Linked DNA regions of Arabidopsis thaliana. The protein of the gene in region 2 interacts with the protein of the main gene of each other region in a biochemical or structural test. Each region holds a gene or a part of one and is shown on either strand. Other genes may lie near its edges.

Region 1 (10,031 bases), on a different chromosome or scaffold from region 2:
TATTCGAAAAGCTGCTAATTTTTTGAAAAAAAAAAAGAAAAAAGAAGATTGGATAGAAATTGACCTTTTTTATGGGCTGAAATTTTTGTTCCTTTAGGTGGGCTTTGTTAGGCAAAAGGGCTTCGTTGATGTCATGAATCTAACGCCACCACGTCTCTCTGCATCGCAAACCTCCACCGGAAACGTATAAGCCACTCCTCAATCTTCTCTCTCTGTATCGCCACCGCCGTCGTCGATTGCAGCTCCTCGCCGGATTGAAGCTCCATCATCATGACTTTGAAGCTTGAAATACCGGCGACACGTAATCATTCTTTAACTTCTGGATCGTCACTCATCTCGATCGCTGTAATTTTTGGAACGATTCTCCAGAAAGGGCTCATCTTGGTCGAAGAAGAGTCATCAACATCATCTTCCATCACGTTCGTTTCTCGTTCGGTTTGTCGAAGAGCGACTGCAAATCAACAAATCAAAGTGTGAAAAATTTGGAGCGTAACGGCTAACGAAGAGGTTTGACCAGTCAACGATAACCAACGGTTACTCACCAATAATCTCCGATGAATCCTCATCAATCTTCCCTCTCTATCGCCATCTCCGTCGTCAATTGCCGTTTTTATCACCCAAGTCTTCGCAAAATCTTCGTAACGGCTAAGCGAACAGAACCGAATCCATCGGCTAGCGTAATGATTCTAAACGAAGAAGAGAATCCGATATCGGAGAAATCAGAGAGCATGAAATTGCGTATTTCTCAATCTATAGCCCTCTCTCTCTCTGTATTTCTTGTTTCTCTAGGTTTTTGTTTGTGATGATCGATCGAAGATACTTAAACGATGAGGCTATTCTATAAACATTAATGATGTGTTAGGGATTTCCTTTTTTCTCTTGTTTCCTTTTTCCTTTTTCCACATGTGATTAGGGTTCAGCGTAACGGTACTTTTTAAAAAAAAACTCTTATGCGTTGTTTCCTTTTTCACTTAATGATTTGGTAATTACGTACTAAACCATAGGTTAACTAGTAGGGAGCTACAAAAGAAAATTGCAATTTGATGTACATGTATGTTGATAATATACACAAGAGAAAGAACAAAACTTTCTTTCGTTTCAACATTCTTTAATAATATAAGAAAAAAAGAAACTGGTTTTACAATAAGTTTGGCTTTGATGATTTGAGCGCAATGGTCAAGAGACATCTGGATACAATCAAACAAATAAAGCGTTATCAATCCACCATTCATCTCCTCTAGTCCTTCAAAAGGCTTAAGAGCCATTAACCCCATTTAGAATTCTTCAGATCGGAGATCCATGTGTTGTTATAAGATTTCAGAAATCTGCAATAAGAAAGCACATTTGAAGTCATTAACCTAAGATAAAAACAGCAGAATGTTTCTTGCTTTTTCTTTGATTGATTGGTTCTACTGTATACATTGATTGGCATCTCAGCGATGAGTATGCCACTGCTTTCTTCGAGGCTTTTGAGAGTCGTTACTTCACCTCCAACAACCATGTTTATGACTATTCCACCTTAAGAGAAAAGTCTCAAATGTTAAGTGACATTGTTTGATGAACAAAAAGAGTTTGTTTTGAAAGAAAAAAAAAAGAACCTGAAGCTAAGCAAGTTGTTATACGCCTTGTATATGTTTCCTGAAACATGGTCATTACAAGTAGTGAATAAGAGGAAGGTTCTGGACATTTTGACTTGACAATTGCAGATTGATTAAGAAAAATACCAACCAACCTTCTTTGTAGGAAGCTCGTAGTTTATGAGAACGCGTGCGGATAGAGAAGATTCTCCTGATGAGAGTAACGGAAGGCAAACATCGGTCACAACTACCAAATGAGATGTCTTTTCTTCTTTTCCGTTTTCACTCTCTTCCAAACCTTCTTCTACCACAGAGTTAAGTTGCTGGTTCCAGTTGATTGTTGCTTGCCTGAATTTCTCTATAACCATAGCTCGTTCTCTATCTGCTAGATCGCTGTACTGTAGACACAAAAGACGTTGAACATAAACATAACCTAGTGGGAAGAACATGTAAGTTAATACCATGATGAACAAGAAAGTGGTACAACAAGAACAATAACAAACGGATATAAAAAACCGATGATATCAATCAAACAATGAAAGACAATGAACTCAAATCATGATGAACCAAGCAAGTGAATCAACAAGAAGGGTCTTTTCAAATCAAATACCAAAGAGAAGACTAAGAAGAAACATGCCTCAGCTATGAAAGTTAAAGAGAAGAAGAGAGAGAGATACCAAAGCGGCTAAGGAAATGTAAGGAAGAGTGGATAAGGAAGAACAGACGGCGTCAAGTTCGTCACGAGAGCTGCAACAGACTACAATCGGAAGCCATGGACGACGACCTAGAACGCCTAATAATTCCACTACAGTCTCCTGTGCCCACATCCAAAGTTTCGAAATTTGCGATTCAGAATCTCAGTCTTGATGAGAAATTACAAGGAATATTGATACAATTTACTTACCATTTTGAATTGGGGACGATCCACGGCGAGGTAGAAATGCAATTGTTGACTGCAAACCAAAAAAACAAATTGGGTTTTTAGGGTTTTTGTTAGAAGGTATGAGATAATCCTTATAAACTCAAAATTAAAACCTGGAACGAGAGGGAGATTGAAATGGTAGAGATGGAGCTTCCATGGAGTCCATAATCCGTCTTTCTCAAAATTGTCCAATTCGCCGGAGAAGTTACGCTCCGGTAACCAGGTCACGGACTTATACGCAGTCGTTTCCAGTCTTTTGAGATTTATTACTCTAGCAACGTCGTCGTTTGGTTATATGTAAGTATCAGATCTAAACAACATCGTTTCTGGTTCATATTTTACATAATTTATTTTTTGGTCAAAGACATTTATACATAAAAAATGATAAAACAAATGTTCGTTCAAGGACATTTACATATTCAAAATAATGGATGTGAATTACATTATTATTTTTATACAACAATACATTTTTATTCGACCAAGCCACAAATCAAACTTCTTTATTATTATAAATCAAGGTGATTAACAAATATTATTCACAACCATTACTAATTGATTTATACTTAGCCGTAAGAGGTTCTCTTCATCATCTTCATGAACTCCTCCAAGTTAACTTCTCCATCTTCTGCGTAGGTTAAGGCAAAAACATGAACTTGAGGGACCGATTATAGATAAAACGCAAAATTATTATGTGTTTTTGCTTACTGTCACGGTCTGCTTCTTCGATCATTTCTTCTATATCATTATCTGTGAAATTTTCTCCCAATTCTTTAGCAATCATCTTTATATCACGAGGTGAAATCTTCCCCTAAAACATTCCAAAAGTTGTCCAGTCAAACACAATGAAATCAATCCAAACAAAAAAAGATAATATTAAAAAGAATGAAATAATGACAGGTTTAGATTTATTCACATTATTGTCGTGGTCAATGATCTTAAACGCCTTAGACAATTCGTCTATGGAGTCTCGTTCTCCGAATTTGGTTGTCATCATATGCACAAATTCGTCGAAATCTATGGCTCCACTTTGGTTTTTATCTACTTCTGCCATCAATTCGTTTATTTGCTGCAACAATGAACATGACCAAACTAAATACAAGTTGGTTCTACGTACAATGATCTAAACCATGAAATTAAAACAAAGAAGAAAAAAGGAAGGAAAACAAACAAACCTGATTATTCATCTCAAATCCAAGAGACCTGTAATCAGCTGATAATTTTTTAGTACTATACTTAACTAGAACTTGAAGAAAATAACTTTGAAAAAGAAAGAAAAATTGCCGTTGACCTCATAGCAACGTTGAGCTCGCTAGCATCGATGCTACCTACATATGAAATGATGCACTAAATCATGTGAGCAATAACTTTGTAAATCGGATAAAGAATCGGTTTAATAGTTTACCTGAACCGTCTATGTCGAAAAGATCAAAGATCTCTCTGATCTCTCGTCTCTTCTGATTGGTCAACCCATAAGTCTTCCCTTTAGGCTTTAGACCTCTTCTGAGCTGTGCTGCTTCCGACATGTAATTCGCCTTCCGGAAGACAAAAAGAAAAACAAAACCGATGAACAAAGTAGTCGGATAAAGAATCTAAACTAAGAGACAATCGAGAAAAGAAAACACTAACCATTTCTTGTGTAGGAAGGAAAAGGATGATCTGATAAGAACAAATGGATTAAATGGATGATTTAGTTAATTTGGTTTATGATGCATGCGATGACGAGATTAGTTGCCGATGATCTGTCTCTTTTTTGTCTGGTTACTAACTCTTTTGAAAGCGATTTAGCTTTAAAACTTTTAGTTTTGCACGTTTATGTTCCTTCGTTAATATTAATCTATATATTATATTGGTTTTGCTAATGTAAAATGACATGATCTAGAGAACGAGAAATTTAACAAAACATCCATGTAAAATAGTGAAAAAAAAACTTTAAAATCCATGAGAAAAACAATAATTCAAGACTTTTTTTTACAGATAAATTAGAAACTTGATTGATAAATTTACAATCCCATAGTATTAAAATGAATCAGAAGGAATCCGATTCAGAGATGATTCACAACAAAGACGTTCTTAGGAGAAAACAGGACTTGTTTGATGGTCATCTTGCGTTCTTGTGACATTGATGAAAGTAAATGTTTAGTACAATGAACATTAACTGATGTATATATATAGTTACATAATCTAGAGAACACCGAAAGCTTCTTTAATAGCGTGTACAACACGGGAGGAAACTTCTTCACCAAACATTCTCGGAAACTGCAAATCCAAATCGTCCTCTATGCTCTTCCTTCTAAAGCTTTTATCTCTTCTCTCCAACTCCATTCTCTCTTCTTCCCCAACCACAATCTTCTCTTCTTCTTCCTTCACACACCGCTCCAACCAAACCTCGAGAACCTCCTTAGCAGCTGGACTAACATGATCTCTCAATATCTCCTCCAACTTATCCTCTTCCTCCGCATCAATCTTAAGCATCGAAGCAGTAGGAGAGAAAGCAGAACGGACAAAGAGAGAAGGAGACACATAAGGGTTAACTTCAGGTAGCTTAAGGAGAGATTGTCGATGAGAATCAAGAGCAGTGTCTTGGTAATACTCCTTGAGATAATCCGGGTTAAGAACAAGATCTTTACGATGTGGGAGGTCAAGGATTAGCACAAGCGACTTGGAACTGCTCTGTATTAGTTCGACCACAAAGTTTGGAGCTTTTGTTGATGAGTTTAAGAATCCAGAGATGCTTGTTATATTCAAAGATACTCCTGTTGGGATCTTGCAATGTATCCAACTTCCTATAACAAAATCAATCTGCAAAACAAAACAAACTTTAAGATTCTCTAAAAAGTTTTTTTTTAGGGTTATGATTTACATCGAAATTGAAGTCTGTTTCTACTTAAAATCAAGCAATTGAGCTCTAAAACAAGCATGCAAAACAGTCAATTTCGATCTCATAACTGAAAAACAGAGTTAATCGTCGCAAGTACCGGAGAAGATTTGTCGCCGGATCTGATATGAAGAGATGCTTCGGCGGAACCGTTAGGGTTATTGAAGTTTCGTACATCTGGAGGGAGGTTACAGGGAAGGAGTTGTGATTGGAGGCGATTCTCCACCGTCGACATGAGATCAACCATGAGCTGCTTCCGCGTGGGTGACACATACGGGAACTCCATAAATTTTCGGCGGAGGTGATCGTCGTGGTCTTCCATGGACTGGAATTGAGCTCGAGGTCTGAGATTCTTTGAGAATCGCGACGGTTTTGAAGTTAACGGCGAGAGATATGATGGAGAAGAAGAAGAGTAGAGAGTGTTGCAAAATATCATCGCCATTTTTTATGTGGCTATGACTAAATTATGTCTCTTCTTTTTTATTTACACTTTTGAAGAAATTAATTACTATTTTACCGGGATTATAGTTTTGTGGTTTGTAATATATTTCTTGTGGTGAATTATTACATACACATATTTAAATAAAATAAACTATGCTTTTTAATTTTTAAATGGTTTGAGAGTTGGTAAGTGATCTTCTTCTACTCAATCAAGTGATGCAAGTATTGGGCCAAGAGCGACTTAATTGGGCAAACAAATAATAAGAATAAATTTCTAAATTTTTCGATTCTTAAACAAGTAAATGATTTGTTTGTTGTAGAGCTAGTTGGAATTATTTTTCTCTCTAGTTAAGTAGTGTCTTTGGAACCTTACTAAATTTTTATTTAATTTCATAGCATTTTCTATTTAGTATATTGCTGTATTTTTTCGATTCCTTGAAGACATCTTTATTTTTATTTTCCTGATAAAGAGTTCTAGAAAATGTTTCTGTGACTTTTATAAAGACAATTTCGAGGGAAAAATATTCAACGGATTACGTAAAAACACGGAAACCACCTACTACTACTTGCAAAGAAAATCAATCAAACATAAAAGTAAAATTTCTTCCTCTTTCACAAGTTTTCAACTAAGTAGATGACCTTAGACCAAGTATTTCACATGCTTTTTTACATTATGAAGACATAAATTAAGCAACAATAAAACTTCAACATCTGTTTTATTTTCTTAATACACTAATTAAATTATATAATACATGAAAATCCATTTATATATTTGCGTTGATCCTTCTGGACCTTCTTCACCTTTTTAAAACATAAAAATAACTTTTCTTCCTTACGGAAAAAAATAGTTTTTTAAATCATTTTTTTCGTCGTCGTCGATGACGTGTCACACGCTGGTTTGAACAGTCTTCTACTCTTTTTTTAGTTGCAGACTTTGCTGCTTTTCCACAACGGCGCGTGAAAGTCCACGTTCTTTATTTCCGTCATACGGGACCCACTCACCACATAATTCTTTTCATCCCGGTCCCTCTTTTTTCTCTCTCCTTTCAACCACACCCCAAACAATTTCAATCCTTCACCTACCCCCTCCTCTGCTCCTCCGCCGCCGTCGCAACCTTCGCACTCACTCTCTTCGTCAGACTCCACCGGTTTAAATTTCCCTCCTTTGATCATTTTATCGATTTGTTCCGGTCTTACTTTCAGATGACCCGTCAAGAACGTCACTAGCTCATCGCGCTGCTTCTTCGCCGCCGCGAGCTCCGAGCTCAAGTTATTGTTTTCACGTTTAAGCTTCTCGTTCTCTCCTGATAAATCAGCAACCATGTTCTCCACCGAACCAGGATTCTTCGACGAACCGGGTGATGACGTGGAGCTTGAACCGTGATCATCACCACCACCAGAATTAGACTCAGAAGGCGAACCAACAACAACACATTTCCCCGCCGTTGAAGCAATCACCGATTTACGCCGTCGTATGTCCGTCAACAGATCCTCCCCGCCTCTCCGGAAATAATCGTTTGCAAATTCCCATTTATCCGGTACAGTTTTACGAAATCCCTAAACCAAAAAAAAAAAAAAAAAAAGAACAAGAACATTCTCAGCTTCTAGAAGGTTTTCTCACCAACCCCCAAATTATGAGAAAATTACGAAATTGGCTAACCAACTACAAAAGAATGATTCAATTCACCAAACGAATTAAATGAAGCATTAAATTGAGAGTAAATGAGTTTTCGTTAGAGTGAAACTCACGTAAGTGTTGAGCTGACGAATGAAGCTTGAGAAATTATTATGCTTGAAGTATTGAGGAAGAAGATCTTTAGCAAACTCTGCTGTTTTCCACACGACAAAAGCTGTTCCTTCTTCGTTCCATGAAACGACGTCGTCTGTGCTATGATCATCAACTAGCTGATACGTTTTGCTTAAAAACGGCGCCGGAACTGATCTTTGCGCCGCCGTCACAGCCGTCATCTCCGGCGAACTTTTTTTATTTTACCACAGAAAAATAAAACTAAAAATAATCTAATACACAAAGAGAAGAAGAAAGATTGGAAATAGAAAGTCGAAGGAAAAAGAATCAGCAACTAAAAAGCAAGAGAGCGGTGAGAAATTCCCAATCCCAGCAATAAAAGCCAGAGAGGAAAACACGAGAACGGAGAAGATCGGAGTTTCGTTTGGTTTCTTCCATTTAAGGAAAAATCTGATGATGGAGGAAGAAGATGAAGACGACGACCATACTTCGCCGGAGCTAATCCGTGTGATTAAAAAGTAAATAAATATAAAGTCTTTTTTATTTTTGTGTGTATGTGCAAAACAAGTAAAACAAATATATAAACGAGTTAAGTGTTATGTCGAAGGGTCTCTATATAACGTAGTAGGAAGATTTATAGATCACAAATGTTGGTCCTACCTTTGTAAGAAAATTAAATTATAAAAACGGATGCTGTTTCTAGAAATTCTCAGAAACATCTTTTCTTCTTACTTTCTTCTCTTTTGAATAATTTTTATCCATCAAAAATATTGTTAAAAAAGTCTAAAAAGTCTTATCTTTTGAATTATGTTCTACTTTTTCTCTCCCTTGAATATTTATATTCGTAATTTATAAATCTCATATTTTATATTATTGTTAAAATTATTAGATGTCAAATTATATTTTAATCTATAGTTGAGTTTATAAATCATTTAATATATGCAGAAATATGTAAATGCTAAAATATGTTGAGTCGCCAATCAAAACAATGTTATTTTAAAACAAACACGCACGAAAAGAGAAAATTATATACTTGTGTTTTTCTAGAAAGTTTTAAAATTAACAGATTTGTAATTTTTTTTTTTTCAAATATGACGGGAGACGGAAAGATATTTTATACAATACAAATTGCGACTTTGTTAATTAGTTTTGTTTCTATTATATTTCTTTTTGTATATTTAAATGTGTTCACCTAACACATTTCGGCTTCATTTCACATTTAGGCACCAATGAGCTTCATTTACCTTTTCTTTTTCAATATATGTGTGTCTTTAGACTAAACAATTCGGATAATATATTTTAACGTGTGAGTCGTGACAAATTCAAGTTCTTAAAATACCCATCGACATCTACGTCTTCATTCTTGGATTTATTTCCAACACCTTTGGCTTTTATCCGCATTTTTATTATCATTCATTGATAACGCCACGGCTAAGTATTTAATATCAATCAAAGACAGTAAAATCTTACCTAAATAGTTGGCATGGTTGAAGAAAAAAGGTCTTAGAGAGACGAGTATTCATAGTTTACACAAATTCAAGTCTCCATTGGAGAAAGACGATATCAACGTGTGAAAATGTCGATAGTTGCATGCACATCTCCATATATATGGACCTCATCATACAAATCGTCTATTTTTAAACGCTATATAATTGAGTCAGTATACTTATTTTGCAAGTTATAGTAGAATTTAGAGCTAATTATATATCTATATAAATGATTCAGTATTTTGTGAACCAAATACTCCTTTGGCATTGATAAATGATAAATATTTGCGACCTTTTTCATGTCGATAGAGTTTTTGTTTTTTTTCTTAATTCAAGCTAGTTGAGGTATCTCATTTTAGACTTCTATACTTCACATTTACTAACAGCGAATTGTTTCCTCTTCTTTTACAAGAAATTACATTCTGTTAAATTGTGCACAATGATAGAATTTTTTTTCTCCACATAGAAAAGTCGGAATGAACAATTTTGACTTCGTGAAATACTATTCAAGTTGATAGTAAACAAGAAACTTCTTTAAAACATGCATGTATTATGAACTACATTGTTTTTTTTTTGTTTTTTTTACATTAGTTTTTACTCAAAAATCATCTAACAGCTTAAACGGAACCATTTACTGTATTTTATAACAAAGAAATTACAGATTCTGACTTTATGTTGGGATAAATAATTAATATAATGCGGATGGTAACACATCGATGACATTAACACAAACCACTATCTTATATAGTATGTAGTATTTGAAAAAAAAAAAATGGAAAGAAAACAAATTAGAAAACTATCGGACCAAAAGCATAATTACTCCGACTTTCGTTATCATAAAAATCTTCACCCATTAACTCGAATTCAATGAACTAATGGCTTAGGTCCTTTTTAAAACAATTTTGGACCATTTATTCAGTTCTTCTATGGAAAGTTCGAACTAATTTCTAGGGTTTGGACCTTTGGTGACATGAGAAAAAAA
Region 2 (11,048 bases):
TACCATTTGCATTTCATCTTTATACTGAAATATTGGTGAAGAAAAGGAGTTTCAAATGGACTGTCATAAATTTAAATAAACCATTTAAAATATTTTAACTATCCTTCTTTAACACATTCATCCTCAAGCCTTTTTTTTCTTCTTCTTTATCACTAGTGGGATGGATCTTCAATTCCAAATTATTGGAGGAACAAGAAAGATGATAATCTAGACCACAACATAAACTATACAATAAAATGATAAATGTGTTATAGTCAATGAATAAAGAATAAGAGAGATGGTGTGATGTTTACACGTTTGGGGCCTAAACCAAAAAAAAAGGATGGGTCCAATATGCCAACTACTACTATTGTATTGAGAGTAGGAAGAGAGAGAAACCTTAATGGAGACAGAGGGACAGTGGGGTTATGTCAATTGTCATATTATTCAACCACTCACCAATCACTCACTCCAAATCTATATCTCTCTTTTTACAAATAATTATGATAGATTTGATGATAAGTTGGTTCTCAAATCCCAGCCGTTCAATTTATCCAGATATGCAAGAAAATATTAGATTTTAAGGAATCGGCCTTTCCTTATTTGGTAAGACTAAATATCTCTGTTCATTCTAGTTCCAATAGGTAAAAGAGTAACCTTTTTTCTTACATTATTAATAACTTGCATTGCACAATAACGTATTACCCTATAATTCACAATGATAATGTGTTTTGAAGTCATCTACACACTTCAAAGTTTATTACTCAATCGAAAATTGAAATATTGTCTACCACTCAAATTTCTTGAAATGGTTAAAATACTTGAACGTGTACTATATGCAAAAATCTCTGATATTTAACTGCTTTGAAATTTTTATCAGAATATTACTAGTGATGGGTCAATTTCTTTGTTAACCTTGTGCTTTATGCACTTATGTTTATAGTCTCTATTTTCTACACCTAAACAACACAATCTATTTGTAGGTTGCAACTCGGACCCAAATTTTTTGCTAAATTTTTTGTTGAAGTCTTATATTAAGCTAGGATTGTGACTTAAAATATGAATAAAACTCATATTGTTGGCTTAAAAAACGAATTAGGATGTTTGTATTTAGTAGGAACATAGTGTTATGAAACCACATCTGATAAACACATGATTTTAAAGTGTTTTAAAAACTATTCTAGCTTCAAAACCAGTTTCTCATTCATCCCGAATCTTTTTTTCCATCACATATATAGTAAATTCATGATAGAATTTTAATTTAACCTAAATATATATAGTTCATAGTTGGTTATGTTCAATCGATTAGAAGGGTTCTGTTGGATCCGAATTCGAGACCTAGGAACTACACCATGATACATTTGGGGAAAATATGATATACGTTAGTAGGTCAAACACAAATATTATCTAAGATTAGCCTCCGGCCAGAAAATTATGGACTTTGTATGTGAGGGAGATTGAGAAGCGATTGCTAAGATTAATAAATATGGGGCTTGTTGGTAGAGTAGATCTATAAAAGGGGTGATAGAGAAACGAGTGGAAACGCATGAAGCACGTTATAAAATTGAATAATTGAAGATTCAACCATATTCTTTGATAATTGGTGGGCATTTTTATTTTATTATTTGTTGTCAAATCTCTATATAAAGAAAAAAAATTGTTTTAACGTTTTCGGTTTAATGTTTGACGCATATATGTGGGAACAGTTTTGGGCGACGTGGTAGCTTCCCCTCCTCGTTTCCCCCAAAAGCCAATGCTTAAAATGACGAGAATACCCTCTCCAAAAAACCATGTGCTCCTAAGTCCTGAACTAGTTCTGATTCTTTTCTTTTAGCTATATAGGGAAGTGAGACTTGCGAGGGTGAGTATGTGACATCAAAATGGAAAACACTAAGCTACATAACCGTTGGACTAAAATGGTAATAAAAAGAAGCAGAACAGAAGTAGGTGAATAAAACTGAGAATGGAAACAAGAAACAACTGAAGAAATCGGATTTATATACGTTTTTGATCATATTCTTTGGTTCAAACTCTATAAATAAGTTTCTTGGCTTCTTTCTTATAAGAAGAATCGACTACACTTTAAGTTAAAAGACCACAAGCAATACACAGTTACAAGAAGAAAGAAAAGTAGTTCCAAGTACTCTCTCTACTTTAAGTTATAAGATCACAAGCAATACATAGTATTTAATAATTAACACAAGAGTCGAGCTTGGACTTTCTTCTTTCTTGGGCCTTCTTCTATTCCGATTCATCCCATTGACAAACCCAAAGCGTTGGATACTCAAATGCTCATTCGTAAACACGTATCCTCATTAGCTTTTTCTTTCCCATTTTGCTTGAATGTAACTAATTAATTTGGTTTTTTTTTTAATTAGTAAGTGTAGTATGTCAATATTGTACAACTAGATGATACTGATCCATTAGAGTAACACTAAAGTTACCAAAGTTTCATACAACTCCAACGACAAGCAAGGTTAGGCCTTTCCATCCAATATTATAATCTAAGAAGGAGCGATTGCCCTTGATCTGACCCAACTTGCGAGTGGAAAATCTAATGCTTATTTGTTCATTCGTTTTCTGAGATTCTATATCAAATAATAGTCAGTCATCACTAGAAAATGCTCAAACAACTAATATGATTCATACACATTTCATATCATATGCTTGGCAATATTGGACCGAACTTCATGATTTTTCTGTCCATGAATGCAAATGTGTTGTGATCTCTGAGTTACATCTCAAAATGTGAACTTGACATCATATTCTCGTTCAAAAAAGGAAGATAAGACAAAACATTTAAGAAACATTTCACAATCATAGGGGGCAAAAGATCAAAATTTAAAATTTCGGACGAGAGTGGAAACTATCAATCTTTAAGGGGATGATTTGGCAAAAGTGTTGTTTTTATTTTTCTTTTACTGTTTTCGTTTTATCATCTTTCAACGTCTTTCTCTCCCGACGGCCAAAAACCCCAATTTTGCCAAATCCAATTTTACACCCAGAAACCCTAATTTTCCTTACTTTGATTTGATTTTGTGATGGACGATTATACAAGAGAGATGATGGATCTCAAGACTTTGGTCACTCGAACCCTAGAGAAGAAAGGTGTCCTCGCTAAGATCCGGGTAAATTCCCTCTACTTCTCTACCATACATTATTCGCAGAAATTTTTGAGTGGAAATGAGAACAGAGAAGTGATTCGTTTGAAATACATACATTACTCTTTTTCTAGGGTTCCTGCTATTCAGATCGAAATGCTCGATATTGTTAATTGCCTATGCATCTGGAATCTTGCTGATAGTTTATTTGTGTTTGTAGGCTGAGCTCCGTGCAAGTGTGTTTGAAGCAATTGAAGAAGAGGATAGAGTGATAGAGAACAATGAAGGACCGCCTCCAGCTCTGTTGGGAAGCTGTAATGATCGTGCAAGGAAGCTTCATGCTTCTCCTTCAGGTTTTTTCTTCACAAGTTTTTGCTTTTATCCTTTTAAATCTTTCCTCTATGAATGGTTTGGTTCTAAATGGCATCTCTTGGTTTGAAATTTTTGTTGAAATGCAGGAAGGTTACTATCTGCGTTGATTTGTGAATACTTGGACTGGGCACAACTTAATCACACGCTCATAGTTTATCAACCTGAAAGCAATTTGGTAATCAATATAATCCCGTTTTCTTTTGCTATGTTTCATTAAGAAGATTGTTGATGAATTTTTCTCACTAATCTGGTGAACTCCTGCAAAACCTATTCAAAGCCAAAAGATTCGTGGAAGTCTGAGTTACGCGACTTTAATAGCAACAATGGTTTTGAGCTCAATAGAAATGGAGATAGTGGACCACTCCTTCTCGATGTTCTTGAAGGGTTCTTGAAGTTTGAGGTATTTCTTTCTTTTTTTCCCCTGAAGATGTTTGCAGCCAAGTGTGAAACAGAACTTTACTATCTATAACTTCTTCTCTTAGTTTACAATCTTTACAACCATACTCTAAACAAATTACAATAGTCCACCTGTAGTATGTGTGATTTATGAGTTGTAGTGTTAACAGTTCCTATTATGTAAGTGAAGATGATCAATACTTTACACCCAAGCTTTACAAACACCAACTTACATAAAATCTTGGTACTCTGTCCTCGCAACCAAGAGAAGAAGTTATAGATAGTAAAATTCAGTTTTCCAAGAAAAATAAAGTCTCTTAGTAGAGATTAGAGTTCTTCAGAGATTTGAAAAACACGTTTAGCAAATTTCCTAGCCTCAAGTTCTCTTCACATCTAAGAATCATGTTTCCATCCTATCATAGTTAAAACCATTATCATCTGTTTTTGCCGTATGCTCCTCAGATGTAGTGATCAACTTTTTTTTGTAATGAATTTTTTCTTCAGAGCATGACGCAGGGCATGGGTAGTAGTTCAAGGAGAGATTCAGAAACAGAGTCGTCATCAAGCCTTGAGTCCAGAAATCCTCCTCGCAGATCATCTGCTTCTGATAGCTTACCTCCTCAACGAAGGTACACATATCTTCAACTTCTTATTATTATGCCAAATCAAAGATCGTTACTCTTCGACATGATTGCTTTATTTACCTTCAAATAAATGGGCAGGCCGGTTTCTGCATCTCAAGCATCGGGTGAGTCATCATTTCCCTAGTTTCTTGAAGTATTGGTTGAAATACGTATGCTTCATTATTTTTTGATACCAAATAAATATGACAAGATGTTACAGATAGAAGAGCCGGGTTGTCTACATCTGGGTACAGAAAAGATGAATTCAACTGGAGACAAGGTAACCAAGATACACATGAAGAGGTAACAAGAGCTTCAGCGGCGCTGGAAAATCTACAGCTTGATAGGAAAACTCGGAACTTAACATCGTCTTGGAGGTAAGCTTTCAAGGAAGTCTCATTGAATCCCACATTGAAATGAAAACAAAGCAAGTTGTGGTAAATCTGATCCATCGGGCTTGCTTGTGTTGTAGGAATGTGAGGGATGGAACAAATGAAGAAGAAGGGAGAGATTGATTTAGGCTTTGGATAAACATTTCAGCTTCTGGATTAGTAGAGTAATGGTTTGTGTACGTGATATATGTATGTTTCTCCTTTATTTGCAACTGCGTTTTCAATTAGCCTTTTTTTTAACGCACGAACCTCTGTCTCCTTGAGAACAAAAAACATGAAACAGTAAAATGTTTTCTTTTGAGATTTGTTATGGGAAGAGAAGAGTTCAGAAAGAAGAATCAAAGAAAGCACAATGTGGTTGAATATTTTCATTCACTTGCTTCTTATTTTAGTGTCTCCAAAATTATTATGTCTCTAGTAATAAACAAGGTTTTTGAATGATGTGTTCACTGTTTGTTTTACTCGTACTTTTTTTTTGTTTTCCCTTTAGTCTTCTCTCTCTCTCTCGCTTCTTCGTTTAAAACTTTAAACTAAAGTATCGAAGAAGCCAACTCTGGATGACGCAAAAGCTTCTCTCAGAACGGCATTGTAGAATTCTCCGGTGACCAAATAATCCGATTGCATTAGTAGGGAATCTGTTATTTTGATCTGATCCGTCAAATTGGCGGTAAGAACAATGGACGATTATACAAGAGAGATGATGGATCTCAAGACCTTAGTCACTCGAACCCTAGAGAAGAAAGGTGTTCTCGCTAAGATCCGGGTATATTTGTTTTTCTCTTGCCACGATTCCTCTGGTTCTGTGACATACTTCATTCAAATTCCGTAGAGAGATTTGAGTACAGAGAAGAAGAGAAAACATACATTGCTTTTCTAGGGTTCGTGCTTCCAGATCTACTTTATGCATCTGGAATCATGTGAATTCCCAGTTTTTGTCGTACTTTGAAATTGAGTCTGTGAAAAAATTGTACCTTCTCAGCTGAATTGGATTCTTTAACATTTGGTTTGGAGATTGAAGATTTGTTTTTTTTTCTCTATATTCTTCTGCTGAAATTTTAGTTGTTTCTGTAGGCTGAACTCCGTGCAAGTGTGTTTGAGGCAATCGAAGAAGAGGATAGAGTGATAGAGAACAATGAAGGACTGCCTCCAGCTTTGTTGGGAAGCTGCAATGATCGTGCAAGGCAGCTTCATGCTTCTCCTTCAGGTCTTTCTCAATTTTTATCCTTCATATCTTCTCTTCACTTTTACCCTTCAGAGACCTTTTCTCTTTGAATGGTATGGTTCTAAATGGCATGTCTTGGTTTGGAAATGCTTTCTTGATACTTAGATATATTCGCTTGTTCGAAATGTGTCTCCTTGTTTTTTTCGGGTGAAACTTTGCTTGCTTCTATTCTTAGGCGATATGAACATTGAGATTTTGTGTAGTTGAGTAGGTCATCTTGATCACTTTATAAAATGTTAAAATGCAGGCAGGTTGCTATCTGCATTGATTTGTGAATATTTGGACTGGGCGCAATTAAATCACACGCTTAAAGTTTATCAACCAGAATGCAATTCGGTAATCAATATATTTCATTTTCTTTGAACTTCTGATATTTCTTTTAAGTACGTTGAAGATGAACTTTCTAACTGATGCTGTGATCCCTGAAAACCTATGCAAAGGCAAAAGATTCTTGGAAGTCTGAGATACGTGACTTTAGTATCAACAATGGTTATGAGCTCAACAGAAATGAAGATAGTAGACCGCTTCTTCTGGATGTTCTTGAAGGATTCTTGAAGTTCGAGGTATTTCTTCTGCTTTCTCTCTGAAGATGTTTACACATACAGTATAGCTTTTTTTTTTTTCTCTGTTTACAAGCTTTACAACCATATTTGTTACACATTACAATAGTCCAGCTATGGTACATGATTTCAGGGCGTTAATGTTTACAGTTCCTCTATTCTCTAAGTGAAGATGACCAATACCTGTTGGTTACATCGAAGCTTTACAATTACCAAATTAGTTCAAATCTTGTTACATTGTGCTCACGACCTCACATTTTTTCCAAGTAAATAAAGTGTCTTACTCAAGAAAAGAATTTTTCAGAGCTTTGAATAAGTTCGGTGAATTCCAAGCCTACAATTCTTGTCACACCCAGGGATTATGTTTCCATCCTCTTGTAGTAAAACCATTATAATTTGTCTGCTGTATTCACCTCATATTTAGTGATCAACATTTTTCTTCAGAACATGACGCAGGTCATGGGTGGTAGTTCAAGGAGAGAGTCAGAAACCGAGTCGTCATTAAGCCTTGACACCAGAAATCCTCCTCGCAGATCATCTGCTTCTGATAGCTTACCTCATCAACGACGGTAAATCCAACTCCATGTTCTACCAAATCAACGATCTTTAATCTTCCATGTTGCTTATGAGTCTGACATGCTTAATTAATGGGCAGGTCGGTTTCTGCATCTCAAGCATCGGGAGCCGCTACCTCAGGGTACAGAAAAGACGAGAGCAATTGGAGATATGACACTGAAGATATGCCGGAAGAAGTCATGAGAGCCTCAACAGCACTTGAAAATCTTCAGCTAGACAGGAAAACTCGGAACCTAACATCGTCTTGGAGGTAACTTGGAGCGTCATGGCTCTTACCTTACAAGTCGGATAGAACTGAAAAATAATCTAATCCATTGGTTTTGGTTGTGGTTCAGGAATGTGAAGGATGGAACAAGTGAAGAAGAAGAAGGGAAAGATTGATAAGGCTTTCGTTAAAATCCAGCTTGTGAATTAGTATCTCTACATATATATGTGTGTTTCTTTTTTCATGTATGGTTTTAAATGTTGCAACTTTGTTTCTTAAGTTTTTCGTTTGTCGTGTTTGAGAAATCCGATTGGAAGTAAAGATTATTGATATAAGATGTCAACTACAATTAAGCCGTTAACACAAACTCAAAAACTTTCATAAAAATTCTCAAATATTAGTGTCATTAAAAAAGCATTGTTAATCTGAGGACTGTATACATTCCAAAGAATTATCATTTCCCAAATTTATTTAAAATAATTTTATGATATCTAATCCTAAATCTTTTTGTTGAGGAAAAAAAACAAAAAAACAAGTAAACCTTGTTTAGGTTTATTAGGGTTTTAAAAGTATTTATATTTGTTTTCTGCTGCAGCAGACTCAAAAAGCTAAGTAAACTACTCAAGTCCCTCCCTTTTCCGGCGTCGCTATTCTCAGTCTCATTCTGTCTCCCGTAAGTCCTAACTAAGCTTTCTCTCTTCAGTCTTCAGCCTCCGCCCGTTATTGTTGACAAGTTTTAGCCTTTTTGTTAATTACTACTTTACTACTCTTGTTGTGAATTTGCTGCTACTGTTGAAGCCATGGAAGCTCGGATTTTGCAGTCTTCTTCTTCCTGTTATTCGTCTCTTTACGCTGTCAATCGATCCCGGTTCTCTTCTGTGTCATCTCCGAAACCTTTCTCCGTCAGCTTTGCTCAGACGACGAGAACAAGGACTCGTGTATTATCCATGTCGAAGAAAGATGGTCGCACTGATAAAGATGATGACACTGATAGTCTCAATTACAAAGATTCTGGTGTTGATATCGATGCTGGTGCTGAGCTTGTTAAACGAATCGCAAAGATGGCTCCTGGAATTGGTGGATTTGGTGGTCTCTTTCCATTAGGTATATATATATATATGGAAAACTGCAAAATTTTCACCTGAATGTTGAAACTTTTGGTCTTCTAATGAATGAGTGTGTGTGAGCAGGTGATAGTTATCTTGTAGCTGGTACGGATGGTGTAGGGACTAAATTGAAATTGGCATTTGAAACTGGAATTCATGACACCATTGGAATCGACTTGGTATAGCAAATTCTCTTTTGTGTGTTTTGTGATACTAGCCCATAAACTCATGGTTTAGCTTATTGTTATAGGTTGCTATGAGTGTGAATGATATTATTACTTCTGGTGCAAAGCCTCTGTTTTTCCTTGATTACTTTGCTACTAGTCGTCTTGATGTAGACCTTGCTGAAAAGGTACCATTGCTTCATCATCTCTTTCCCCTTTTGAATTTGAGATTGCTTTAAGGACTTGATATTGATGTATGCTTTGTTGTCAGGTCATTAAAGGGATTGTTGAAGGTTGTCGGCAATCGGAATGTGCTCTCTTAGGGGGAGAGGTATGTGTTACGGTTTTGACAATGTAGTTTACGCATCTTTCCATGATTGTGTATCAATTTGGTTTTGTTTTGTTTTTTTTAGACTGCAGAGATGCCTGACTTTTATGCAGAGGGCGAGTACGATCTAAGTGGGTTTGCAGTAGGCATAGTAAAGAAAACTTCAGTTATCAACGGAAAAAACATTGTGGCCGGTGATGTTCTTATTGGCCTCCCGTCTAGTGGTGTTCATTCCAATGGTTTTTCTCTAGTAAGAAGGTAAAGAGTTAGCGATAGTCGAGGTTTTAAGCTTCTGATTTCATGGCTTTTAACCACATTCCAATTGTTGCAGGGTATTGGCTCGAAGCAATCTTTCGCTGAAGGATGCGCTTCCAGGTGGATCAAGTACCCTTGGTGATGCTCTAATGGCACCCACTGTCATTTACGTGAAACAGGTTGGTTTTCTTGTCAACAAATATTCATTCCATCATCACATTTGTAACAACTCTATGACTTTCTCTCTCTCTGTTATTCGAAGGTACTTGATATGATAGAAAAAGGAGGAGTGAAAGGTTTAGCTCATATCACAGGCGGAGGTTTCACAGACAACATTCCCCGAGTCTTCCCGGACGGTTTGGGTGCTGTTATTCACACCGATGCTTGGGAACTTCCACCGTTGTTCAAGTGGATTCAACAGGTAATGAATGAGGAGAGAATCATAAACAGAACGATTACGTTTATACTTCTAGAATGTTTGATTGTTTTTTGGTTTATTGTATAGACTGGGAGAATAGAAGACAGTGAGATGAGAAGGACGTTTAACCTGGGGATAGGGATGGTTATGGTGGTTAGTCCAGAGGCAGCTTCACGAATACTAGAAGAAGTCAAGAATGGAGACTATGTTGCGTATCGCGTAGGAGAGGTTGTCAACGGTGAAGGCGTAAGCTATCAGTAGAGTGTTGTGTGTTCTTTTTTCTTCTGTGTTTTTTTAAGTTTTCGTTTCCCACCGTTTTTAAGAATTAATCCATTTGTCTACGGTTTTATGAGGTTACAATCGAGATGAGGCATTTTTTAAGACGTCGTGTTATTATTTGATCTAATTTTTTAAAAACAACCAATGTGATTGGTCTGGTTTATTCTCTTTGTCGCACAAACAGATGTTGAAAGATATTCTCGTTCTAATTATATAAAATTTAAACATGTTGTTTGCCTAGATGGTATGGGTTAAGAAGCTAATTGTCAAGAAAAAACAAATGTTGTAGGAAGAATTCTTCATAAAATTCATATATTATAAAACTGAGGGTATCCAAGAGAATCATTTACTTACTAGCTTAGAGATTAATGAACTATATACACCATTTATGTCTTGTATGTATCCCATCACCTTAAAATGAATATATTTATAGCAGCATACCACAAACAAACAAATGAATGTATTTAAAAGTTCTCCCAAAATTCAATCCGGAATTATGAAAAAAGGGTGACTGAGAGAACTGAGAAGCTATTGAGACTACACGTAGGACGATTTAGCTACTACGATTTGAAGATGGAAGTGGAAAAGAGAGCTTCAAGGTTGATTATACCTAGGAAATGTCTTGGACCTTAGTTTCCGTTGGTTCAGAGTTAGTCTCTTTTGCCTCTGTTGATGATTGCTTCTCGTCATTAACATGCTCCGGAGATTTTTCAGGTGTTGTGTTCTGCAAATTGCGGGTCAGTTTGTATACATAACTAGGAGAAACTATTTGGTTTTAAAGACAATTTTGAGGTGTTTCTTGGGTGAAGCCGTCTCTATATATGTTTTGTGTAAGAAGAAGATTTACCTTGTTCTTGTCGCGCCACCCTAGTCCAAATGGCCGTGCTAGCAAACTGATCCTGCTTGGAGGAGGTTCTGGTGACGAATCTTGGTTAACTTGCCTGGAAGGTTAAAAAAATATGTATATATATACCCAATTCAGAATACACAAGGGTGGGTCATTAGTCATAACCCAATTGAGTGTTTATAGTTGTGTACACAATTTATGTTTTGAGTTGACTCAGGTAAAAAG
Region 3 (9,847 bases), 1.7 Mb from region 2:
ATATATATTTTAAAACATCAATTTTGATAATTAAGTATTTTTTTTGGTTAAAACAATGATGATTTTATCGCATTTGAAGGTGATCCACTGGAATATAATATATCAAACTACACAAAGATGGCCTTTATTATCTCGATGATAAACTAGTTATGAATTTTATAATATATCATAACTAATACAATTATTATAGTTTTTAGTGAAACAAATTCAAAGTGGGTAAAAAGCTCCCCCATGTGCTTAATACCTTATTAGTTATTACCTTCTACAATAACCTATTTTACGAATAATTAAGAGAACATGTAGACCATATCAAATATGCATAATGCACATATATCAAGTTGCCATTAAATCTTTTTTGACCGATATTCACAACAAACACACTAGTACTATACCACTCCTGTTCTTATAAAATAGAAAAACAATCTAGCACTGATAGTAGCCCAAATTCAATTATAAGTCTAGTGAGAATAGATAAAAAAAAAACGCATAAAATATACGTCCATTTACTAATCGAATGAATGTAAACACTTTACTAACAACCGAGATAATGTATATCTGACCAAAAATCAGTTGTTTGTATGGTTGCTAAGTAAGAATTCATAACAACCGAGATAAACAACTCTATCAAATGTACTTCGTTTCATCAAATTACTAATCGAAACTTCGAAACCTATTATAATAAAAAAGACGATTCTAGTTAAAGTATGAGAAACCTTTTTTAAGACATAAAGTATGATAACCTTTTTTCCTTAATTCGCGACCTCCTTTTCATAAACCATTCGCCTTTTGATAAATATATTATCCATAAAAGTAAGCACTCGTGTGGTCGATATCTCATGTCTGTTCTTTACAAATGGATTCTTGTTAGGTTTTAGGGTGGCTATAAAGCTATACCATCGTAGAAGCGTGCGTGCGATGGCGAAGGATAAAGTGAGTTTCGATCATTGTATTCTTCATTATTTTGAATTTGATTAATTTTGTTTTTTGTATGTTCCATAAGATTCACCAAATTAAAGTGATTTTGCAGGTCTGCGTATTTCTTTCACTGTTTTTATTAAGCAGATTAAATATTTAGTCCATATTTCTAAAATTCTGTTTATGTATAGAAATTGTAAACTTTTGGGACATGCCATGATACGTTTAATAGATCAAGTTTAATTATATTGTGGAATACGTCAAGAGCTTACATAAAGGATTGTTTTAGTAGTATACCATATATGTGGTAATATCGCAGGTCCGATCCGAATGGTAACAGTAACGTAAATAGTGTAAAATGGGAAAGAGAACATAACAAGGTCTTGCTAGTGAATTAGAATATACAATTTACGTTGAACAAACGGTACACATAAATGAAACAAAAGTTGAATAGTGATCATATCAGAATATCAGATCAATAATGTATAAACAATATCAAATTTTAACTATTTTAATGATCGAAACAATTCTTATAACAAACTTAATTCGTATGACTGTTTTCGATCTTTTGATGATATATATTTTCAAAGGAAGTTGTCATTGTCAACTTGCAATTCAACAGTTTCTAATTTTGGGTGCTGTTGAAACCCAACTACCACATTTTGATGTATTTAAAACATTATACTATGCATCTTTCTGATACAAAAATGTATATCATTAATATGTATTAGAATTCTTAGAACATGCCTATATATCCAATATAGCTCATCAAACACTAACGAGTATAAAGACCATCCACTCCACCACCACATTAAGTTTTTGACTTAATGATCATCGGCTATGTTGTTGTGGTCCAACATAAAGAGTCTGCCGAGTTTGGTTTCACTGTCTAAATTGGAACCGTTTTTGGTTCAACAACTAGTTCACGCAGTAAAGTATCACTTAAATACAGTTAGTTCAACCGGCCATAAAAAAGTTTGTTCTCGTACATATGGATATTATTGATTTACACATTGAGAATATCTACCCATCTATTATTAACAATTAAGCTTGACCTAGAGAAATTCTGATGTAGATTTTTCTGATTATCTTCTCATGGTTAGGAACCAAACCTTACCTTGTTTCTCTACTCGAATCAATCTCTTTATTAGCTTATGTATGGTTTAGTGTTCTCTAACCAAACCAAGAAAAGGATTGGTTTAGTGTTAACATACTGTATTACTAAGTACATAGTTATTGGGCTATAAGAAGCTAACTGGGCCACAAATCCAGAATCCCAATATAAGTCAATGTACATCGTTTGCTAAAATCTAAAAACGGTATCTTTAATCTCAGAAAGGACATTATACAAAGATGATGATGTTACACATAAGGTCGTTTATCTACATCAACTTCAACCCACTAGTTCTTCATATTACATAAAGTCTCATAAAAGCGATTTCGTATCGAACTTTTACTCATAAAATTCCCTTATTCTATGATTAAAAAGGAAGAAATTCCAAAGTTTTATAGTATTTTTATGCAATGCCAACTTGTGTTGCTTCGTAATTCCAGGTACATTACATAATTTAATAAAATTAAAATGAACCAATCAAAAACAAATCCAGGTCATCATCATGACTTGGGCCGGCCCAATATCCCTGAGTCGGCAACACTCTCTCTCTCTCTTCCATTCCTTTATAACTAATCTTCAACTAACTTTTCTCTTCCCCCTAACTTTTTTCACCCAAATATTTCGACTTAATTACCAAAAAACCAGCCATTGATCGTAAAACCTTTCCACCACCGCACACCCCCTCGCCGGGGGTAGTGCGTCGCATACACGCGCCACCGTTACCTTCTACTTCTCTCTTGAAGCAACACTCGTGGTCTCCTGATCTAATCCGCGAGGAAGCTTGGTCAAAACGTCAAGATATCTCCCGCCACCGTCATCTCCGCCGTGGTAAGAGCTTGACCGACGAAGATCTCGACGAGCTTAAAGCAAGTTTCGAACTCGGATTCGGTTTCGGATCTCCCGAAAACGCTGATCCAAGACTTTCCAACACGCTTCCCGCGTTAGAACTTTACTTCGCCGTTCAAAAAAGCTACAACGACGCCGTTTCTAACAAATCAACAACGTCGTCGTCTTCACTCTCCGACGGCGATACCAGTCCTCACCACACCGTATACCAAACCAGTATGTATAAACATACACACACACACATATATACACATACACGATTATAAATTTATAATGATCAAATTTCATTTGAATAGGTGATGATCCGCAAACGGTGAAGACGAAGCTGAAGCAATGGGCGAGAGTGGTGGCGTGCACCGTGAACCAATCGCCGCCGAGATGATAATTTTAACGACTGTTAAACGTTGTGGGGATAAAGGTTAATCCGGAACAGGGTATGTAAATTGAGACGCCAAACAGTCGGTGGAGTCCAGTCAGCGTTGTAATATTACACACACAATAGTAAAATACTAATATATGTTGGACCCAACTTGTTTATAAGTTATATTGTTTATTGTATAATGCATGATTTGATTTGATTTATCTTCTTTTAGTATGTGATATATAATTTTATATATGCAACAGAACACAATTTGCAAAAGTATATTCTCAGATTCTATTGTCTGACTTTTGTCCATGGGAGAGTGGTGTTGGCTTCTCTTATATTCGTTGCTAAGCTTGATAAAGGATTATGCAAATTCACGTGAATTTGCATATAGTGATTAATTCAGATTAACTGATCTCTTTCAGATCAAAATCTTTGTAGCGTAACTTATATATATTATAACTTTTGAAAAGAAGAAAAAAATTATGGCCGAAGAAACGATCGAAATAGTGAGAAAATAGAGAAAGTGTAGGGAACGATGAGGGAGTAAGTAACACATCTGTGTTTTGTCTGATTGTCTGATTAAGAACTACACATAGCAGATCTGTGTTTTGTTATGGGCCTTCACTATTAGGCCCATCTGACCCATATCGTTACCGCTTTTTAGTATGGAAAAGCAACAACAATGTAAAGGAAAGCAGAAACGTTAGATTTCTTTAGACGCGCAAACTGAAAGAGCTTTGATCGATCGATTTGGAGGATTCGTAGAAGATATGGTTCGTTCTTACCTTTGATTCTGTCTTTATTTTTTTTATGTTTAGAGATTAGCAATTTCTAAGGATCTCTAGATAACAATTTTGCATGATGGATTTTTTTTTTTAAGATCTGATTTGTATTTAGCGAATGTTAGAATGAAGAAATTAGGGTTCCATGATTGAAGAAGATTTTAGACGAAACCCTTTAGTGTTAGAGCTGAGATTTTGAATTTTGGATGTTATTATTGCAGTCGAGTATATACAGAACTGTTTCGAGAAAAGAGAAACCGAGACGTCATCATGGATTGACGACACAGAAGAAGCAAGAGATTAAGGAAGCTTTTGAGCTATTTGACACTGATGGTTCTGGTACCATTGATGCTAAAGAGCTTAATGTTGCTATGAGGTAATATCGAGAGCTTTATATCTTTCTGTCTTTGTTTTATGGTTTTGGAATTGATTCTTGATATTATCATTTGTGATAGGGCGCTTGGTTTTGAAATGACGGAAGAGGTATTATTATTTCTTTCGTTTTTTCGGTTTTTTCCGCTAAGATTCGTTGTTTATATCTATGGTTCTGATACCTTGATGTATTTGGTATTGAAGCAAATCAACAAAATGATAGCTGATGTGGATAAAGATGGAAGTGGAGCTATAGATTTTGATGAGTTTGTTCATATGATGACTGCTAAGATTGGTGAAAGAGACACAAAAGAAGAGCTCACTAAAGCATTCCAGATCATTGATCTTGACAAAAATGTATTTACTCATAACTTAGTTAGTTACTTCATTTGATCTTAATTTTTCTAGAAGCTAAACTATTTTTCTTCCAAATTTTCAGGGGAAGATATCTCCGGATGATATCAAACGCATGGCAAAGGACTTGGGTGAGAATTTCACTGATGCTGAGATACGAGAGATGGTTGAAGAAGCAGACCGAGACCGTAAGTGTCCTAAACCTTTTTTCTCATTCTCTTGTGGCACAATGCTTGGTTTGACTAAAGATATATGATACATTACTGAAAACTGCAGGTGATGGTGAAGTTAACATGGATGAATTCATGAGGATGATGAGGAGAACTGCTTATGGTGGTAACTAGAAAGGTTGTTGCTGTTCTTAACGATATTTGATGAGCTCTATTATAGTTCTTTAACTGAGGCTTAATTATCTGTAATATTATTACTGAAGATACATATATCACAGTTTTAATCTATAGCTCATCTTAATGGCAAGTCTTGGTCTGTCTTTGTATCATTATAAGATGTATAAATTGGCAAAATATTCGTAGTCTTAGTGAAAAACTTTAGGAGCTCGCATTGGTTACTTCATAAGTCGTCAAGATTTGGACCTCTGCGCACATCATCATCTAGAAAAAGATATTAGATTTGTCTTGTCATAATACCCTGTTGCATTAAAGTTGTCGATTCATCATTTTTTCTTTCACAAAAAGTGGTACCATTTTATGTCAACCATAAGTTGTAAAGTTACACAACTGTGGAAACTTCACTTACATAACATATCCGACCTTTGAAAGCTTACATCAATGGATTCCAAAAAGAAAAAAAGATCCATTGATCATAACAAAGCATTTTCCTTAGGCAAAGTTTCCAAGTTAGCTTAAAACTTTAAAAGTTGTCGATTCATTGCACAAGGGTTTTGAAACAAAAAAGTAAAGCATAAAAAATTAATTCAATAAGAGTGTGTACTGATTTGTAGAAGCTATAAAGATAATGTTGACAACAGATACATTGGGGCCGTGAATTGGGTATTCTACACCGAAAACCTCACGACAATATTTTTACCAACCATGACGAAATTAAGCATTACCAAAGTCCCCATATAATGAATCCCCAAACGAGTAAAGAGAACAAAATCTAATTATCTAACGAGGATAAAAAGAAGAAAAAAAGGAAGCTAACTGATATATGGGAAAATTGAAAGGAAAAAAAGTCCAAATCTTCTTATGAAGCCAAAGCTGGTTGGGTTATTGGGATGAGTTTATATCTGAACGGACCTGGATGGTGAAGAATCATCAAATTGAGGGGGAAGTGGTGGTGGTAGTAGAGGAAGCAGAGGCACAGCTGTTACCAGTCTGCTTAGCCACATAGATTTGCTTGACCTTTGGGTTATTCGGAAAGCCTCTCTCTCTGGCCATGGGTTGGTTTCTGCCATGGTAGCCCGATCTCCGGTTTTGATGGTGCTGGTGTTGGTGGTGGTGGCTGGGCCCACCAACATGCTGAGACTGCGTGTTCTTCTCCTGAGAAGATTGTTGTTGTTGTTGTTGTGGTGGCTTGAAGCCAGGACCATTTGGATTCTGAGTGTTGTTGCTGTTGGGATCAGATAACGTGGAGGTGGGCTTTGCTGGTGGAGCACCAGTGGTGGAACTGTAAGCGTTTGAGGAGTCCACCATTGCGTCTACAACTGTGGATGCTTGAACGTTGGGATATCTGTTAGGAGGAGGAGGAGGAAGCATGTTGTTGTTAAACTGAGGTGATGGAAGATTGGAGCCATCTGTTCCTTCCTGCTGTTTCTGCATTTGCATCGTTGGAGGACCCGAAAATGGCATGTAAGGCCACCGTGCTCGAATAGGCATCTCCTGAGAAGAAGACTGACCCACACCATAAAATAAATATTAAGTCGATGGATTCTTCTACTAGTTAGCATTATTGGAAATCATAATGATGGGATCCAATACCTGGAAAGGAGATGGATCAAACATTGGCATAGGAAGGTGCTGAAGAGACGCAGGTACAATGTTACATTGCATGGAAGCCACATTAGGATTGTTTACATCACCATCTCCTCCAACCGGAGAAGAAGATACGTTTGGGTTGTGTTTCCAATCTGGTTGCTTTCCAGATGGGATGTAAGTTGTTCCCATGAAACTCAACCCTCCAAACTGTCCAACAGGTGCAAAGTGGTTATAAACAAACATGTGAGGAGGTCCCTGAACGCCAGGAATAGCACCGGGTGGGGTTAGAAAAGGACCCGTGAAACCGGCAGGAGGGGCATAGAAGGAATCTACTCCAGAATGACCCTGCTGCTGCCAGGTCGTAGGTGGACCAGATACTGTTACTGGACCTTTCTGGGACTGTGATTGGGTTGCTCCTGCGTCATGGTGCGGGCCAAAAGCAAAAATGGGTCCTCTTAACATGGGATTCACATCATAGAAAGGGTAATGAGGAGGGCCTGGAGGGAAGTGAGTGATCATTTGGTTTGAGTTGTGTGGACTTGGTAATTGTGGCCACAGAGAGATTGGGGTGTCCACTGAAAGATCTGCTGGTAGAGAAACAATGAGAGATTCCTCAGCTTTTGATCGACTAGTCTGCCCACCAACAGTACCTGCCAAAGCAAAAGAAATTACTTCAGACAACAAACAACCATTTGGGAATGCATAAACCCTACAGAAAGCAAATATACCACTTGCTGCCCCATCATCTAACTCTGTTCCTCCATAAATTTTGGTTTCAACAGGTAATACAGAGCCAGTACTCAAGGCATTCCCACTGGTTTCATCATTAGTTATGGCTGCCACAGCAATAGCTGAAGCAGCAGCTTCTGCTTCTGCTTCACAAATCTCTATGCCAGTGGATGATGGATTTCGATGTTTGTTATCTTTTTCAAAATATAAAGAGCTATCCTTCTCTGTACGCCCACCACAGGGAGGGATAACAGTGGAAGATGTAACTGCACCTAAAAGAGAAAGAAAGATCCATCATTTAAATGCAACGACGAGCCAGTTCAAAGTAATAATCAAGGTATCTAGTCAACCAGCTCACCAAATTGAATTTTGCCCTCAGCAAGCAATGAATTTATTGGACTTGTGCTGCTTGAAAAAGTATTGTTCTTTGGCACAACAGACGTTGATGTCGAATTTGACTCGCTAATTCGGTTGGCACCATTCTCAACAGAAACACATGAAAGATGAGATACGGGTTTCATGGCTTCATCAAGCTGACTCTGGGTTAGGGCCATAACCTACAAGGTAATATGAAAAGGCTTCAGATATTTGCATAGGCGTGATTCATAACTAGTAGAGCATGAGTCATAAACTATTTTGATTATTATCCACTATGACTTTCTCTGTCCTCAATTCTTACTGCTTTCTGTTTTCAGTAAACCATTCTATCAATTCATATAAAGTGACTATGAGATGCGGCTTAAAACACAACCGTTTTAGATGACATTGGAAAGGTAAGCAAGAATCTTGCAGATACATTTTTTGGATTGTCCGTTTTCGATTTTTGTAGAAACTTGAACCAAGTCAAAAAAACCATGAACAATATATATACTCACCGGCTGATAGGTGAGTTGGTTACCCCAAGTCCCCACAGGTGTATGACTGTTATCGAGAACCTTATTTTTGTTGCTGAATACAAAACCTGACGCTGGATTCTGATCATTTTTGGGTATAACTGGAAGAGCACTACTTTCCTGAGTGGACCTGCAAAATGAAATAGAAGGTAAGAACATAAGCAGAGGGGAGCTATCTCTACAAACACACTTAAAGCATTTCAATTGATCAAATAATGGAATGTACTTGTTGCTCCCAGATTTTTCATCAACATGGGAATCTATTTTAGGTGAAGGTGTGCCAATTGGGGCTAACGTCTGTCTGTTGGAGACTGGATTAAACTGCTTATTGTTCGCAGCTCGGCTAGCTGGTGGGCTTCTGTTGGACCTGGCTGCAGTAGTATTGTTCTGGAAAGTTGAACGAGGTTTTCGGAATGCCTACAAGAAAACAAATTCACTTTTAGTGAGAATTACCTCAGAATAGGTAACAATTCACAAGTAGAAGAACACTAGAGTTTTAGATTGCATCAGAACCTTGGCTGCCTGAGACTTCTCTTTAATTTCCTTTTCTCTCTGTTCACGGCGATCATTAAGCATTTGCCTTTTTGATCTTACCTCAATAAAATCATCATCGTCACTAGGAGCTTCAATACCTTGTTGCTCAAAGACACGAACAATTCCAATCTGCAAAGGTGCATCAATTTCCTTTTCAGATACCATATTCCTTTTAAGGTTTGCTTGTCCAGAATTTGGACTGAGTGGATTCTTCACGACAGCATCTTTCCCAAGTCTATTCTCAAATGAACCCCCACTAACTGTTTTCTGCATAGCATTCAAACCGGACGCTGAGCTGTCTAAGGCTTGTTTCTGGGACTTGTTGGACACAACATATTTTCTACTCCCAATTTTTGTAGAAGTTTGTGCCCTTCCATTTCCATTTCGATTTTCATCGGAAGATGGCCAGTTTGATTCCCGAACTCTAAATTCAACCCTCTGACGACGATATCTTCTATTACCACCAGAATCTACCCGAGAAACCTCAGCAGTACCAGATGAGCGCAAGCCAGAATTTCTTACTGCACTTGTGTCAGTTTGGACTTGGTATCCTGATTGTCTTTCAGCAAAATTTGATTTTCCATGACTCATCTTTCGAGAAGGTAATTGCGAATTACCAGACAACTCTGGTTGCTTTTGAGGTGACACAGCAGCCTCAATGCTCGCTCTCGCTGGAGGTAGATTAGCATTCTTCAGTGTGCCCTCATCAGAAACATTTGTCGGTCTTCTAAGAACACTAAGCTGAGGGTGTGAGACAGAGGTTGCTGCGTTTCTAGCGAGCAGGTTAGCCGAATTTCCTTGACCAAGCTGAACAGTCACCAAGGATCCAGGATTCTGATTCAAAGCATAAGTTGATAAACCATTCGCTTGGACAACTGAATGATGTGGCGGTGGCAGCACCCCTTGGGATATTGGGGATGTATACGGTAGTTGACCAAACTGAATGAGAGGAGGCTGGGGCTGTTGCATATGGGTAAGCGAGGAGCCAAATTGGGGATGAAGAG

What was found.
Region 1: the proteins of TON1B (region 2) and CEN2 form a complex in vitro, tested with the Arabidopsis thaliana proteins (one study listed by BioGRID).
Region 3: the proteins of TON1B (region 2) and CEN2 form a complex in vitro, tested with the Arabidopsis thaliana proteins (one study listed by BioGRID).

What each region holds. Positions count from the first base shown.
Region 1 is NC_003075.7:17,438,412-17,448,442, reverse strand, and holds CEN2 (centrin 2), read right to left. Parts: upstream 4,315-10,031; 5' UTR 4,129-4,314; coding exon 4,126-4,128; exon of another isoform or gene 4,032-4,125; coding exon 3,902-4,031; intron 3,825-3,901; coding exon 3,788-3,824; intron 3,700-3,787; coding exon 3,672-3,699; intron 3,566-3,671; coding exon 3,413-3,565; intron 3,308-3,412; coding exon 3,205-3,307; intron 3,125-3,204; coding exon 3,063-3,124; 3' UTR 2,828-3,062; downstream 1-2,827. Other genes in the region: AT4G37022 (uncharacterized protein), read right to left, coding at 199-282, 360-451, 543-579, 644-730; AT4G37020 (initiation factor 4A-like protein), read right to left, coding at 1,265-1,518, 1,599-1,638, 1,733-1,975, 2,255-2,392, 2,482-2,530, 2,613-2,665; ACD2 (accelerated cell death 2 (ACD2)), read right to left, coding at 4,681-5,298, 5,475-5,816; HSF4 (heat shock factor 4), read right to left, coding at 6,737-7,372, 7,565-7,783. UniProt on the Arabidopsis thaliana protein: Potential calcium sensor that binds calcium in vitro. Modulates homologous recombination and nucleotide excision repair (NER). Involved in the early response to UV irradiation.
Region 2 is NC_003074.8:20,378,592-20,389,639, forward strand, and holds TON1B (tonneau 1b (TON1b)), read left to right. Parts: upstream 1-5,304; 5' UTR 5,305-5,539; coding exon 5,540-5,626; intron 5,627-5,934; coding exon 5,935-6,067; intron 6,068-6,332; coding exon 6,333-6,421; intron 6,422-6,525; coding exon 6,526-6,648; intron 6,649-7,089; coding exon 7,090-7,214; intron 7,215-7,300; coding exon 7,301-7,471; intron 7,472-7,556; coding exon 7,557-7,602; 3' UTR 7,603-7,861; downstream 7,862-11,048. Other genes in the region: TON1A (tonneau family protein), read left to right, coding at 3,021-3,107, 3,301-3,433, 3,539-3,627, 3,730-3,852, 4,353-4,477, 4,571-4,596, 4,692-4,848, 4,944-4,986; PUR5 (phosphoribosylformylglycinamidine cyclo-ligase, chloroplast / phosphoribosyl-aminoimidazole synthetase / AIR synthase (PUR5)), read left to right, coding at 8,227-8,530, 8,617-8,711, 8,783-8,884, 8,968-9,027, 9,110-9,282, 9,356-9,458, 9,542-9,700, 9,785-9,958; AT3G55020 (Ypt/Rab-GAP domain of gyp1p superfamily protein), read right to left, coding at 10,587-10,700, 10,824-10,917. UniProt on the Arabidopsis thaliana protein: Involved in the control of the dynamic organization of the cortical cytoskeleton. May play a role in the organization of microtubule arrays at the centrosome through interaction with centrin 1 (CEN1).
Region 3 is NC_003074.8:18,670,409-18,680,255, forward strand, and holds CEN2 (centrin2), read left to right. Parts: upstream 1-3,728; 5' UTR 3,729-4,012; coding exon 4,013-4,015; intron 4,016-4,245; coding exon 4,246-4,400; intron 4,401-4,479; coding exon 4,480-4,507; intron 4,508-4,600; coding exon 4,601-4,753; intron 4,754-4,835; coding exon 4,836-4,938; intron 4,939-5,026; coding exon 5,027-5,094; 3' UTR 5,095-5,353; downstream 5,354-9,847. Other genes in the region: AT3G50350 (membrane insertase, putative (DUF1685)), read left to right, coding at 2,498-2,522, 2,675-3,091, 3,195-3,298; AT3G50370 (uncharacterized protein), read right to left, coding at 6,028-6,603, 6,691-7,337, 7,416-7,688, 7,775-7,973, 8,292-8,439, 8,536-8,726, 8,823-9,847. UniProt on the Arabidopsis thaliana protein: Potential calcium sensor.